3 linked regions of the Macaca fascicularis genome follow. The protein of the gene in region 2 purifies or fractionates together with the protein of the main gene of each other region. This does not show direct contact. Links are inferred from orthologs where the notes say so. Each region holds a gene or a part of one and is shown on either strand. Other genes may lie near its edges. The genes, in order: FGFR1OP2, STK26 and SIKE1.

What was found.
Region 1: the proteins of STK26 (region 2) and FGFR1OP2 purify together in Homo sapiens (affinity purification with mass spectrometry; 4 studies listed by BioGRID and IntAct, with this or other methods). This does not show direct contact. The link is inferred for Macaca fascicularis from reciprocal best matches to the Homo sapiens genes STK26 and FGFR1OP2.
Region 3: the proteins of STK26 (region 2) and SIKE1 purify together in Homo sapiens (affinity purification with mass spectrometry; 4 studies listed by BioGRID and IntAct, with this or other methods). This does not show direct contact. The link is inferred for Macaca fascicularis from reciprocal best matches to the Homo sapiens genes STK26 and SIKE1.

What each region holds. Positions count from the first base shown.
Region 1 is NC_088385.1:29,681,021-29,685,432, forward strand, and holds the start of FGFR1OP2 (FGFR1 oncogene partner 2), read left to right. Parts: upstream 1-1,512; 5' UTR 1,513-1,752; intron 1,753-4,412. UniProt on the Homo sapiens protein: May be involved in wound healing pathway.
Region 2 is NC_088395.1:138,326,771-138,330,419, forward strand, and holds part of STK26 (serine/threonine-protein kinase 26), read left to right. Parts: intron 1-631; coding exon 632-817; intron 818-2,235; coding exon 2,236-2,384; intron 2,385-3,649. UniProt on the Homo sapiens protein: Serine/threonine-protein kinase that acts as a mediator of cell growth. Modulates apoptosis. In association with STK24 negatively regulates Golgi reorientation in polarized cell migration upon RHO activation.
Region 3 is NC_088375.1:119,590,434-119,594,726, forward strand, and holds the start of SIKE1 (suppressor of IKBKE 1), read left to right. Parts: upstream 1-1,470; 5' UTR 1,471-1,542; coding exon 1,543-1,713; exon of another isoform or gene 1,714-1,763; intron 1,764-1,934; coding exon 1,935-2,040; intron 2,041-2,864; coding exon 2,865-3,007; intron 3,008-4,293.

The sequences.
Region 1 (4,412 bases), on a different chromosome or scaffold from region 2:
TTTAATGAGGTCATGACCAGAAAGCAACGGTATCAATACACCATATGAGGCTGTTACTCTACCAGGCACAGACAAAATTACTAGTGCATACATTTTTGGTTTTGCTTTTAAAATGAACTTAAAATTGTCAGAGGGAAACATTTTGACATTTAATTGTATTTGATTCCCTTACATATACGAAACATAGTAAGTGACAAATACTCTTGAAATACACCTTTATGGTCCTTGCTAATTGACGTTCGTCACATATAAACCCCAAGCCAGTATTTTTGGACTTCCCTCCTAGAAAAACGTTTGAAGATTTCTGGAAAAGGGGGACTGGGGGGCAGGGGTGCGGAATTAACAGGAAAGTGGAGTGACAGCAAAAGAAAAGGCCAAAACAAAGATAAACATCTCCTAAGATAACCGCACATCAGGTCTTCGCCTTAGGATGAGGACCCCAACTTCACACTCTCCCCTTAGCTTTTGAAACATCACAGTAATTTACAAGGTAGAGCAGAAAAACTTAGTTGTTACCATCACACTGGTGTGGAAGAGGAAATTTAAAACTTTTAAAACTTTTACTTATTAAAACAGAGCATATGGTACTCCCCTGCTTCGCTAACAAAATCTTATACTGAATAGACAATCCACATTCGAAAAGCACATGGCAAGCAAAGCCAAAGTGTTAATCAAAACGAACTGATTTCTTACGATCCAGCTATTTTCACCTCCTGCTTTCAAGACGCATCTCCCCTTCACGCAAAACTCTCTGAGAAACCTTCTAGACCCACTTTGCTGCAGGGTGGGGGGTGGAAAATACAAGGTGAGTGGATAAGAAGACCTCAGGATCGAGGTTCGCTTACTTTCGTGCCTGGTCCTGCAGTGAAAACGAAGAGGCTATGGACCACAGCCTCTCTGGAAAAGGCTGCTGGCTGGGTGGGGAGAGTCAGCGCACAGTCGGGAGTGTCTGGTGCCACAGACAGGGGACTATGCTTTCCCCGATCATCTCCTAGCACACCGGTCCTTCCCAGGCTTCCTGAGAGCAAGAGCGCGCGTGCGCGTGCACACTCACACACTCGGGCTCGCGCGTGCGCACAGCGATCTCCGACAGCCCCGCCAAGTCTCCCTTCCCCCTCGGAGGGCCAGGCTTCCCAGTCGCCGAACAGGAAGAGGGCGGGGCCAAAGAGGAAAAAAAAAGCCTCCACCCCTCGAGATTTTCCACCCACTAATTTTCCCAGTCACCCATTGGGAAGCAGGATCTGGGCGACCTGAAAGCCTCCCCAACAGCGAAGTACCAACCACGGCCCCCTGAGCGTACGGCCCACCCACCCGGTCTCCCCTTCTCTGTCTCTCCACCCTGGCCGGTTTCCCCTGGAAAAACTCGCGAGACTTTGCGAGAGGCCGAGCGAAGGCCTGGGAGGGGAGGAATAGGGAGGGACATACAAGGGCCCCGCCCCGCTTTCTCGCGCAAAGCGGAGAGTGGTCGGTTTTGCCCCACCGTAACGCGAGGAAGGAAATCTCGCGAGGCTGGAGTCCTCCGGGAGAGCCTGTCGGAGGCGGTCGGCGGAGGTGTCTACCCATCCGGTGATGGGGCTGAACGCCACTGTCTGTCCGGACACCCCTACGCTGCCTCCGTGCGGCTCTGCGTCTGCTTGCTGAGGAGGCGGATTAGGGGCGCAGAGTCTCTTCCTTTGAGTGCCTAGGTCCCGGTTAGTAGAGGCTTTGAGTCCGCATCGCCACAGCTGACGGCTGCGAGGGACTAAGAGCAGAGTAAGTGGACTAAATCCAGGGACGGGAGCAGGGGTGGGCGACTCGGAGGCGTCCTTCGCTGGGGCAGTCTTTCGCCCGGGCCGGTGCCTTGCGCCTCTTGAACCACCGGCGCCCAGCCCTGGCCGCTTCCAGCCGCAGGTTCCCAGCTCCTGGGAACCGGAGTTCCTCTCCGCACCCCTCCGGCTCCGAGCTCCTCATAATGGAGATGGGGTGCGGAAAGTTTAGTGAAAAGCCTTGGCCCTAACGCTTTGGACACACCTTCCGTATCTACTTTCATCCTGCCTTGGCCACCTGCGGGCTCACCACCGGACGGAGGACCCTTTCAGTCACCTGTTTGCAGCGTCTAATGGAGATAACTTGTTTCTTGAAACTGCTCTCCAAGGGGTATTACTCTTTTCTGGTTTACTTCTTGCCTTTCTTCTGTATCCCATCTCTGATAACGGTTCCAGTATCTGTCCTGCTATCCAAACTGGAAAACCAGGAATCATCCTTGGTTCATTTCCACTCACACTGCATTGTATTATTATTATTTTTTTCGCCAGAATTAGTGCGGTTGCCCTCCCGCCCCCCGCCCTCCACTGGTTTCTCTGCTATAATCCTTCCATAGAGTTATTCTAAAATACATATTTATCTCTGTCCTTTCCTTAAACTTTTTAGTAACTGTATTGCTGACAGAATCAAATCCTAATTGTTAAGCACATCATCATTCAGGATCTTTTACAGTCTGCCCCAATCCATTTTACCTTTTAGTCTTGCTTTAATATCCGACCATACCAGATTATACTGGCTGTTTCCCCAAACATGCCATGCACTTTGACAGCTCTGTACTTTTGTACGTGCAGTACCATCTGTCTAGGATATTTACTGTTCCTTTCTTTTACCGCCTATCAAAACCCAATTCATAAATCATTGTCTTCTCATACTCCCCCAGGTGACATTGATACCGCTGTGCTCCCTACGCATTTGAAACATTTCTTCTGCAGTATTTATTAGGTTGTATTATTTGTTTCTGTATCTGCCTCTCCTGCCAATTTGAACCTGGGTCTGTCTGGAATCAGGTCTTATTCATCTCTGAGAAAAAGTCCAATACTTGACACGTAGCAAGCATTATTTATATATACATATGTATATTTATTGAAATTGAATAGTTCTAAAGAATTCACCATAAGAGTTCTTCATCCTTTAAAATCATAGAATTTTGGAGCCAGAAGGAACTCTGTACATTGGCTTAAAGGCTCCTGACCTGTTTTGAATGTGAGAAACCCTGCACTTCTAATACACACGCAGTTGTACTTTTAGTAATTGTTGATTGAAATTACGTATAATGACAGAAAACTACTATGCTTTTAAATGATTTTGTATTTTATTTTTGTAGTATCTTTATATTTGAGAAATGGAGCAGAAATCTCCATTGACTACAGACAGTGCTTGGAGTATGTGCATTCAGGCAACTCTTCCACTGACTCCTTCGCCTGTAGGTTAGAAATAGCTGGTTTATATTAGGTTCCTTCTTGAATTGTCATAACTGTTTAAACATATGTATATGAAACTTATATTCAGCCATAATTCTAAGGGAACGTGTAATATTTAAAAAAATCCTCGTGTCATTACTTCCAAAATCTTTCTTCCAACTTTAAAAATTAATTTTCTTCAGAAAGTGTCTTTATACAGTTACAAACGTATATTCATTCCACTGTTTTAAAGAACAGTGAAAATTTTCTTTGCTTTCAGATACAGCGATATGTCTGTGTAAATGCTTGTTTTTATATGTAATTTACATGCATTCTTTCTTGCATTCTTAAGATTATAAGTTTATATGAAAACCATGACTATACCTTTTAGTTTTTTTATTTTCATATGGGTCAGTTCATATAATATTAGAGACATATACCTGAACATGAAAAAATTTAAACTAGATTGTTGACATTTAAAAACACATCTGTGGTGTATCAGTAGCCACAGTATTTCTGTGTAGATGTAGTGGTAGGAGTAGTGGATTGACCGATAAGGGAAACAAAGTTTCCAATCAGTAAACATTCATTGATCTTATAGTTAATGTGACGCCTAATTAAAATGGTTGCTAGGCTTTTATTAATTATCTAGAAAATACTTGAAATTTTTTTAGTCTTTAAAATTTCTCTTACATTTCATATATATTCCCATTTATTTTCTGAGGTTGGCTTGAAAAATATGACTTGAATTTCCTTAAATTTTTCTTAACCAAAATCTGAAAGTAAACAGCTGGCAATTGCTGTCTTGGGTGGGTGGTGGTTTCTCTTTTATCAGCAGCAGAATGTTCTGAGCCTTCTGCCAGGAGTCTGACTGCAAAAGTCTTTGGGTGGTAAAGTGGGCGAGAATGTGACTAATGCAGAAAAGAAAAAAATAATTTTTTTAACTTGCTAAAAAAAAAAAAAAAAAGATTCACCTGTAATTTGGACCTGCCTAGAGAAAATAATGTAAGTAAGTGTATTATGGCCAGTTAAGATAGGCACTACAAAAATAGGTCAAAAAGTTTAGAATATTCCTTTTTTACTGAAGTCTGTTTTTTTTGTTTTTTTTTTTTTGTTTTTTGAGATGGAGTCTTGCTCTGTCGCCCAGGCTGGAGTGCAGTGGCGCCATCTCGGCTTACTGCAAGCTCCACCTCCTGGGTTCACGCCATT
Region 2 (3,649 bases):
ACATATAAAGCTCTACACAATCTGGCCATTATCTGCCTCTCCAGTCTTATCTCCTACCACTCTCTTCTAGATTATTCGTCCACAGTGGCCTCGTGGTTGTTCCTCAAACATAGCAAGTACACCCTGGCCTCAGGACCTTTGCACCTGCCCTTCCCTCTGTCTGAAAAAATCTTCCTCCCACAATCAGGTCTGCTTAAACATCACTTACACAGAGAATTCTTCCCTGGCCATCTTATGTAGATCTGCAACACTCTTGCCCCCATCATTCATTATTCTCTTACTATGCTTGTTATTTTCTTCACAGAAGTTAACACCATCTGGCATCATATTATGTATTTATTTATTTATTTGTCTCTCTTATTAGAATGTAAGCCCCTTAAGAGCAGGGATTTTTGTCTGGCTTATTCACCACTGAAATCCTCCATTCTGAGAAGGGTACCTGACACAAAGTATGGAATTCATTATGTTTTAAATAAATGAATTATAGTAATAAAAATTTATTAACACCACATTTTCTTGAGAGACAAGTACTGTATGACCATTAGGTTCCACAGACTATTTTGTGGTAGTATATTGTAATGGAGTTTCAAGGTGATATACATATATATATTTGTTTTTCCTTTTATCTTAGGCTGACATTTGGTCGTTGGGAATTACTGCTATTGAACTAGCCAAAGGAGAGCCACCTAACTCCGATATGCATCCAATGAGAGTTCTGTTTCTTATTCCCAAAAACAATCCTCCAACTCTTGTTGGAGACTTTACTAAGTCTTTTAAGGAGTTTATTGATGCTTGCCTGAACAAAGATCCATCATTTGTGAGTATATATTGCTATCATTACTATTTATTTTCTATTATTAGATCTACTTATAGCAAAGGCAGCTTTTCCTGCAATAGGGAATACAGTGCATGTGAGAATTGTCTAAGATCCATCCAGGAACTTGGTTCTTCCTTCTGTACTGCTACTTCTATTGAGTTATTAACCAGATTCTTCATTCTTTTTCTCCTTACCCTTCATTTTTTTCTTGGTACCCAGCTTCCTCCTTATTCTATTCATTATTTCCTATTTCAGGGGGAAATAAATTTGAGAAGTAAAGTTATCTTTATATTATGTCATTATTAAAGTGCATGTATAAATACAGTGATTTTTATTCAGCTGTTTTCATTTTTCATGAAAAGTTATGTTTGGGTTTAACTGTTTTTTTTTTTTTTTGAGTCAGAGTCTTGCTCTGTTGCCCAGGTTGGAGTGCAGTGGCGTGATTTAGGCTCACTGCAACCTCCATCTCCCAGGTTCAAGCGATTCTCCTGCCTCAGCCTCCCAAGTAGCTGTGATTACGGGCACCTGCCACCATGCCTGGCTAAGTTTTGTATTTTTAGTAAAGATGGATTTCACAATGTTGGCCAGGCCAGTCTCGAGCTCCTGACCTCTAGCGATCCGCCCTCCTCAGCCTCCCAAAGTGCTGGGATTACAGGCATGGGCCACTGCGCCTGGCCAGGTTTAACTATTTTTATTTAGTGTTTAGAAACTTCACCGTGGAGTTGTATACTTTTCCTAGGCTAGTGAGCTCCATTCATTTACTTGGCAGATTCGATTACAGTTGTTTTGCTGTTGTTGAAATAAAGCTGCCTTGTGATTTTTCGAGACGAGAAATACACAAGAGCAGTCCAAACTTGATATAACTATTTTTAAGTTGATGATAAACATTGTGATATTAATAAAGTGAAGGCGGGACATTCTCCACAGCACCTGGTGTTTGCATTTAGATGCAATAGACATTGATGTCTGATGGAGAAGGGATTATAAGATATGTGTAAATAATAACAAAACTACAGCCTTGCAAGTTTTCATCAGTTTTTTTCAAATTTACAGTAAATGTGATTAAAGTATTTTAGAACATTACTTTGAAATGTTTTTAAATGTTTACTTTCTAAATACTGTCATGTGTCTCTCTGCTTTTGAGAAGGCCCTGCCTGCCAGTTTGCTGGTGGGTAAGCCACCTGCTGCCCATTGGGCTTTAACAAATTTAGACGCCAAAGTAGTAGATTCAATGCAGTTGCCTTGAGCCACTTCAATAATAGAATTAGCTATTTTCCTACAGCATTTTAGTTGTTCTTATATCTACAGACATACCTTTATACCTTTCAGCTTAATAATTCAGATGATTTTTTAACCATTCCTTGTAATCATAAGAGTTCAACAATTGTAATATGCAGCCTTGATCTTTTTATCCTTAGCGCCCTACAGCAAAAGAACTTCTGAAACACAAATTCATTGTAAAAAATTCAAAGAAGACTTCTTATCTGACTGAACTGATAGATCGTTTTAAGAGATGGAAGGCAGAAGGACACAGTGATGATGAATCTGATTCCGAGGGCTCTGATTCGTATGTACAAATTATTTAATTTTTATGTAGGTAGCCTATTTAAATATTGTATATCTTTTAGCTATGATCAGTGTGCTTGTTCTAGCATAAAATATAAACCATATTTTGAAATTTCACCTTAGAAACTGTAAAAATCTTTTTCAATCACAGTCTAGAATACAATGAAGTTGGAAACATGTTTTTCTTGGAAGTGAATAGCTCTAGTTTTAAATGGTCTTGGTCTAACCCCTAGTGGATACTTGAGTATATTACAAAATTTTGGAGCAAGATTCAATTAAAAGTGTTATATTAGTTTGCCCAAAGTAATAAGGAGCTGTGTTTTCTCATACTTTGATGGCAACCTGCAAAATCCCTCTAAAGAACTTTCCTTTCCCACCTCTTGGCCATGTACCAAATCCAGATCAGACTGATACATTTGAATATTCATTTATGTGTAATTTTTATTTCTTGAAAAAGTTGTAGTGTTTTATAACAGCAGCGTTTACATTAAAAATTCAGCCTCTAAGTCCGTCAATTAATTTAGACTAGGAAAGTCTGTATGCTATGCCAGAATTTAGTCCTCTACCAGCTGAACTGGCAAAAAGGCAACACCAAATTTATTTAGATACTACCCTGAGATTCTTCCATTTATGAGAAATTGCTCAATGTTGGAAAGGGATAAAAAATATCAGAATAATTTGTGCCCTATTCTGATGGGTGTTAGCCTTAGCTTCCCATAAGAGTCACTCATGGAACCTTTTTATTTTTATTTTTATTTTTTATTTTTTATTTTTATTTTTATTTTTTAAATTTATTTATTATTATTATACTTTAAGTTCTAGGGTACATGTGCATAACGTGCAGGTTTGTTACATATGTATACTTGTGCCATGTTGGTGTGCTGTACCCATCAACTCGTCAGCACCCATCAACTCGTCATTTACATCAGGTATAACTCCCAGTGCAATCCCTCCCCCCTCCCCCCTCCCCATGATAGGCCCCGGTGTGTGATGTTCCCCTTCCCGAGTCCAAGAAGGATGAGTTTGTGTCCTTTGTAGGGACATGGATGCACATGGAACCTTAAAGCAATCGCAAGCCACACCACTGGAGATCCTGATTCAATAGGTGGGGAGCAGTGAGGGACAGGTATTTACATTTGGTAGGAGGTCTCAATGAAGCACACATCGAGCTGAGAACCACTCCACTACCACTCTGTAGTAAAATGTAGTATTCACCTGCAGCTGAGATCAGATCTTTTTTGTACCAGGAGTTTTTAAACATTGGGA
Region 3 (4,293 bases), on a different chromosome or scaffold from region 2:
TGGTTTTTGGTTTTTGGCTCTTAACATTGCTTAAGAGGAGTTTTAAGGTTAATGAGTGCCTGCCCACCTCCTTCCCCATCTGGCCTAGAATGTTTAATTGGCTGTAACTCTTTTGACTCTAAGTCGGTTGGCCGCAGGAGTGACATGATGGACTCAGGACAGGTAGCACACCACCCTGGCATTGATATGGGACAAAATTAAAGTTTGGACACTGATACTGTCTCTGGGATACGTTGACAAAAAAAAAAAAAAAAAAGCGGAATGCTGTTTTGAAGGCATGAGTGTAGCCATTCCCCATCTGCGAGCGTTTGATTAGTAAAACTGCTTTCCTTTCATCATCAGTCACTTCTCATGATTTTGGCCTCTAGGCAACAAACAGCCAGACGTGAGCCAGTTGTAATAGCAGCATTATTTACAATAGCAAAAGGCGGAAGCAACCCAACTGTCCAGCGGATGAATGGATAAACAAAACGTGGCATATACATATTATTCAGCCTTAAAAAGGAAGAACATTCTAACATATGCTACTGTGTGGATGAAACTCGTGGACATTACGCTAAGTGAAACAAGGCAGTTATATGAATATAAATGCTGTATGATTTCACTCACGTCAGGTACCCAGAATAGTCAGATTTGTAGAGACAAAGTAGAATGGTGGTTGCCAGGGGCTGGGGATAAGGAAGAATGAGGAGTTATTGTTTAAAGAGTGCAGAACTTCAGTACTGCAAGACGAAGGAGTTCTAGAAATGGATGCTGATGGTGGCTGTATAACCATATGAATATACTACTGAACTGTACACTTAAAAATGGCTGAGATATTAAATTTTATGTGCATTTTGCCACAATTTTTTAAAACTTAAATGAAAGTAGGCCAGGCGCAGTGGTTCACACCAACACTTTGGGAGGCCGAGGCAGGCAGATCACTTGAGGTCAGGAGTTCAAAACCAGCCTGGCCAACATGTGAAACCCCGTTTCTACTAAAAATAGAAAAATTAGCCGGCATGGTGGTGCATGCCTGTAATCCCAGCTACTCGGGAGGCTGAGGCAGGAGAATCGCTTGAACCCTGGAGCCATAGGTTGCAGTGAGCCAAGATCGCGCCACTGCACTGCAGTCTGGGCGACAAGAGCAAGATACCAAGATACCGTCTCAAAAACGAAAAAAAATAAATAAAAATTAAATGAAAATAAAAAGAAAATAACTGTGACTGAATAACAATCCACATCAATGAAAACCAGTGGGGAAAAGAGACCTTCCTTCTGCCCAGCTCATCATGGCCTGACCACCAGGCTGTGGCAACTGGAAACCAAGAGCGTGGTAAGGGCAGGTCTGGGGCTCCGCGTCAGGCAGGACTGCAAGGAAGCCACAGGTAAAAGCGGGTGAACCCGCAAAATAGGGTGCCACTGCGCAGGCGCCTCTTGCGTCTGCCAAGACACCTTTTAAACGTGCCCGGAAGTGACGCCAGTAATGCTGAGACAGACTCCCAGAAGATCTGAGCGAGTCGCGTAGCTGAGCCCGGCAGGGGCTGGGGTTGTGCTGCTGCTATGAGCTGCACCATCGAGAAGATCCTGACAGACGCCAAGACGCTTCTGGAGAGGCTGCGGGAGCACGATGCGGCTGCCGAGTCGCTGGTGGATCAGTCGGCAGCGCTGCACCGGCGGGTAGCCGCTATGCGGGAGGCGGGGACAGCGCTTCCGGACCAGGTCAGGCAGAGGGTAGGAGTCCAGTGCTCTCGGATTCTGGGCACTGAAGGGTGGAGAGCGAGGTAAAGTGGGAACTCGGCCTGAAATTTATTCCCGGTCTCAGAGGGCGGCGGTGAGACCTTTTTCCTGGGTCGGAGCTGAGAATCCTGCCCTAGAGCCCTGACTTCTGCCACTTGAGTTGCATCTGCCGCTGTTCTCTTTAAGGCATGCTTAGACTGTCTCTATTTGTCCAGTATCAAGAGGATGCATCCGATATGAAGGACATGTCCAAATACAAACCTCACATTCTGCTGTCTCAAGAGAACACACAGATTAGAGACTTGCAACAGGAAAACAGAGGTTAGTCAGGCCTTTTCATATCTGGTAATAGTTTAAAGTTACTGCAAAATTGCCCTAAACATTCACAAGGGTGTGCATCTATTTCCAGGTCAGTACTTTTAGTAGGAGAGTCCTCCTGTGCTGGCTCAGTAACAGTAAAGTTTGTTAGATTACCCATTTCAAGGTCATCTGACTGATTTTGTAGCAGCTTACCAAAGAGGGGCTATGTAGAGTTAGAATTATTGCATGGTTTATTTTTAAGCATCTCCAGATGTGTAACAAAAGAGTTCATATCCTCATGGACTTAAAATTTAATGTTTAAATATTAATATAAACACTGAAGGTAAGATTTAAGGTTTTGTTTATGTTCTTGTTTGTGCAAGGTGAAGCAGCAGAATTTTACTCTAAGGGTATATATTCTTAGGCTTGATTAGTACATTATTAATGACTGTAGTATTAATAGTTGTTTACCAGAGGGGTTTCACATATATCATTCTACTGTATTCTCATATCTTCATTTTTATCTATCACAATGCTGTTAAGAAATAGGCTCAGAGAAGCTAAATGATTTACTTATGAGTATTAACCAAGCAAGTTACAGAACTGAACTCAAATCCATGTCTTCTGATGACATATCCGTTGTTGTTACTGCAAGATTTTGCTTCTCTGCCTAGAAAGTTACCTTTAACATAGACTTTAACTGCTCAGTTTTGTGGACTGAAACATTGATTTACAACCTTGGATTCATATTATCTCTATAGTATTGCAAAATTCTAACTGTTAAGACTTTGGATTTGGGAACTGTCTCTCAGACATCACTGCCAAGTTATTTTATTTTTTGACAGAGCTGTGGATTTCCTTGGAGGAACACCAGGATGCTTTGGAGCTCATCATGAGCAAGTACCGGAAACAGATGTTACAGTTAATGGTTGCTAAAAAAGCTGTGGATGCTGAACCAGTCCTGAAAGCTCACCAGTCTCACTCTGCAGTAAGAAACTTCGAATAAATTTGAAATGAACCAAATTGAAATCTTGAGATTGTTTTAGATTGTGTGCTTGTTTTTTTGCTTTTTGAGACAGGGTCTGGCTCTGTCGACCAGGCTGTGGTGTAATGGCACGATCTCAGCTCACTGCAACCTCTGCCTTCTGGGGTCAAGCCATCCTCTCACCTCTGCCTCCTGAGCAGCTGGGACTACAGGTGCACACCACCATGCCCTGTTAATTTTTGTGGGGTTTTTTATTATTATTATTTTTTTTTTTTTTTTGTAGAGATGAGGTTTCGCCATGTTGCCCAGGCTGGTCTGAAACTCCTGGGCTCAAGCGATCAACCCACGTTAGCCTTCCAAAGTGCTGGGATTATAGGCATGAGCCACTGTGACTGGCCATGTGTGCTTGTTTTTGAAGAAAAGTAAGCTTGTTTTCCTTTCATGTTTATCATATTTGTTGTTTATTTTGCCATGGCTTTGTAAAGATATGAATAGAAAGAAGGATAGTGGTTGCTCAGGTCCTTTTATTTGAATGGGACTAACGTTCCCCCTCCCTCACCAAGATCTCTTTTGAAAATGTTCATTAATTCTTAGCCCTCACACCAAACGTAATGTCAGTTAGTGTTGAAGGTGCCCAGTAAATACTTGGTTGGTTATTATACATTTCACTTAAGCTCCTTGGTTGTGAGGCACTTGAATTCACATTTTATTCCTAACATAGTACCTGACATATAGCAAGCAGTCAATAAACCTTTTATAAACTGAACCACATAGCATCATACTATGTTATTAGGGGATAGAAGTATGGTTTTTAAAAAAAACAAACATGGCATAGTTTCTATGCTTTGATTGCTTATTATCTAATTTGGGAGACTCGGTAATTGTTCTTATGTTTGTAGGTGCTTCATGGTTGTCATTGTACATTCGTGTGTACTGTGTCATTTAATTCTAGATGTATAAGTTGGAGCCTACTACTTCTGTGAGATGTAGTGAAATATAAGCTTCATCTTAAATTACATTGAATGCATTTTACTGACTTAAAAGTTTTAGGAAACAGATATTTTAAATATTTGAATGGCTTTCAACTGGAAGAGAAAAATAGATTTTATTTATTCTCATATGGAGGAAAAAACCTGAACTTTGAAAGAGACAGTTTACTCAGATAGATAAACTTTCTAAGTGATATGTCCAAAGATAGAATAAGGCACCTTGGAATGTAGTAAGCTTCCTGCCAGTGAAAGTATTCAAATTTAAGTTAAACAGCCACTTAGAGGTAGTATCCAACATCC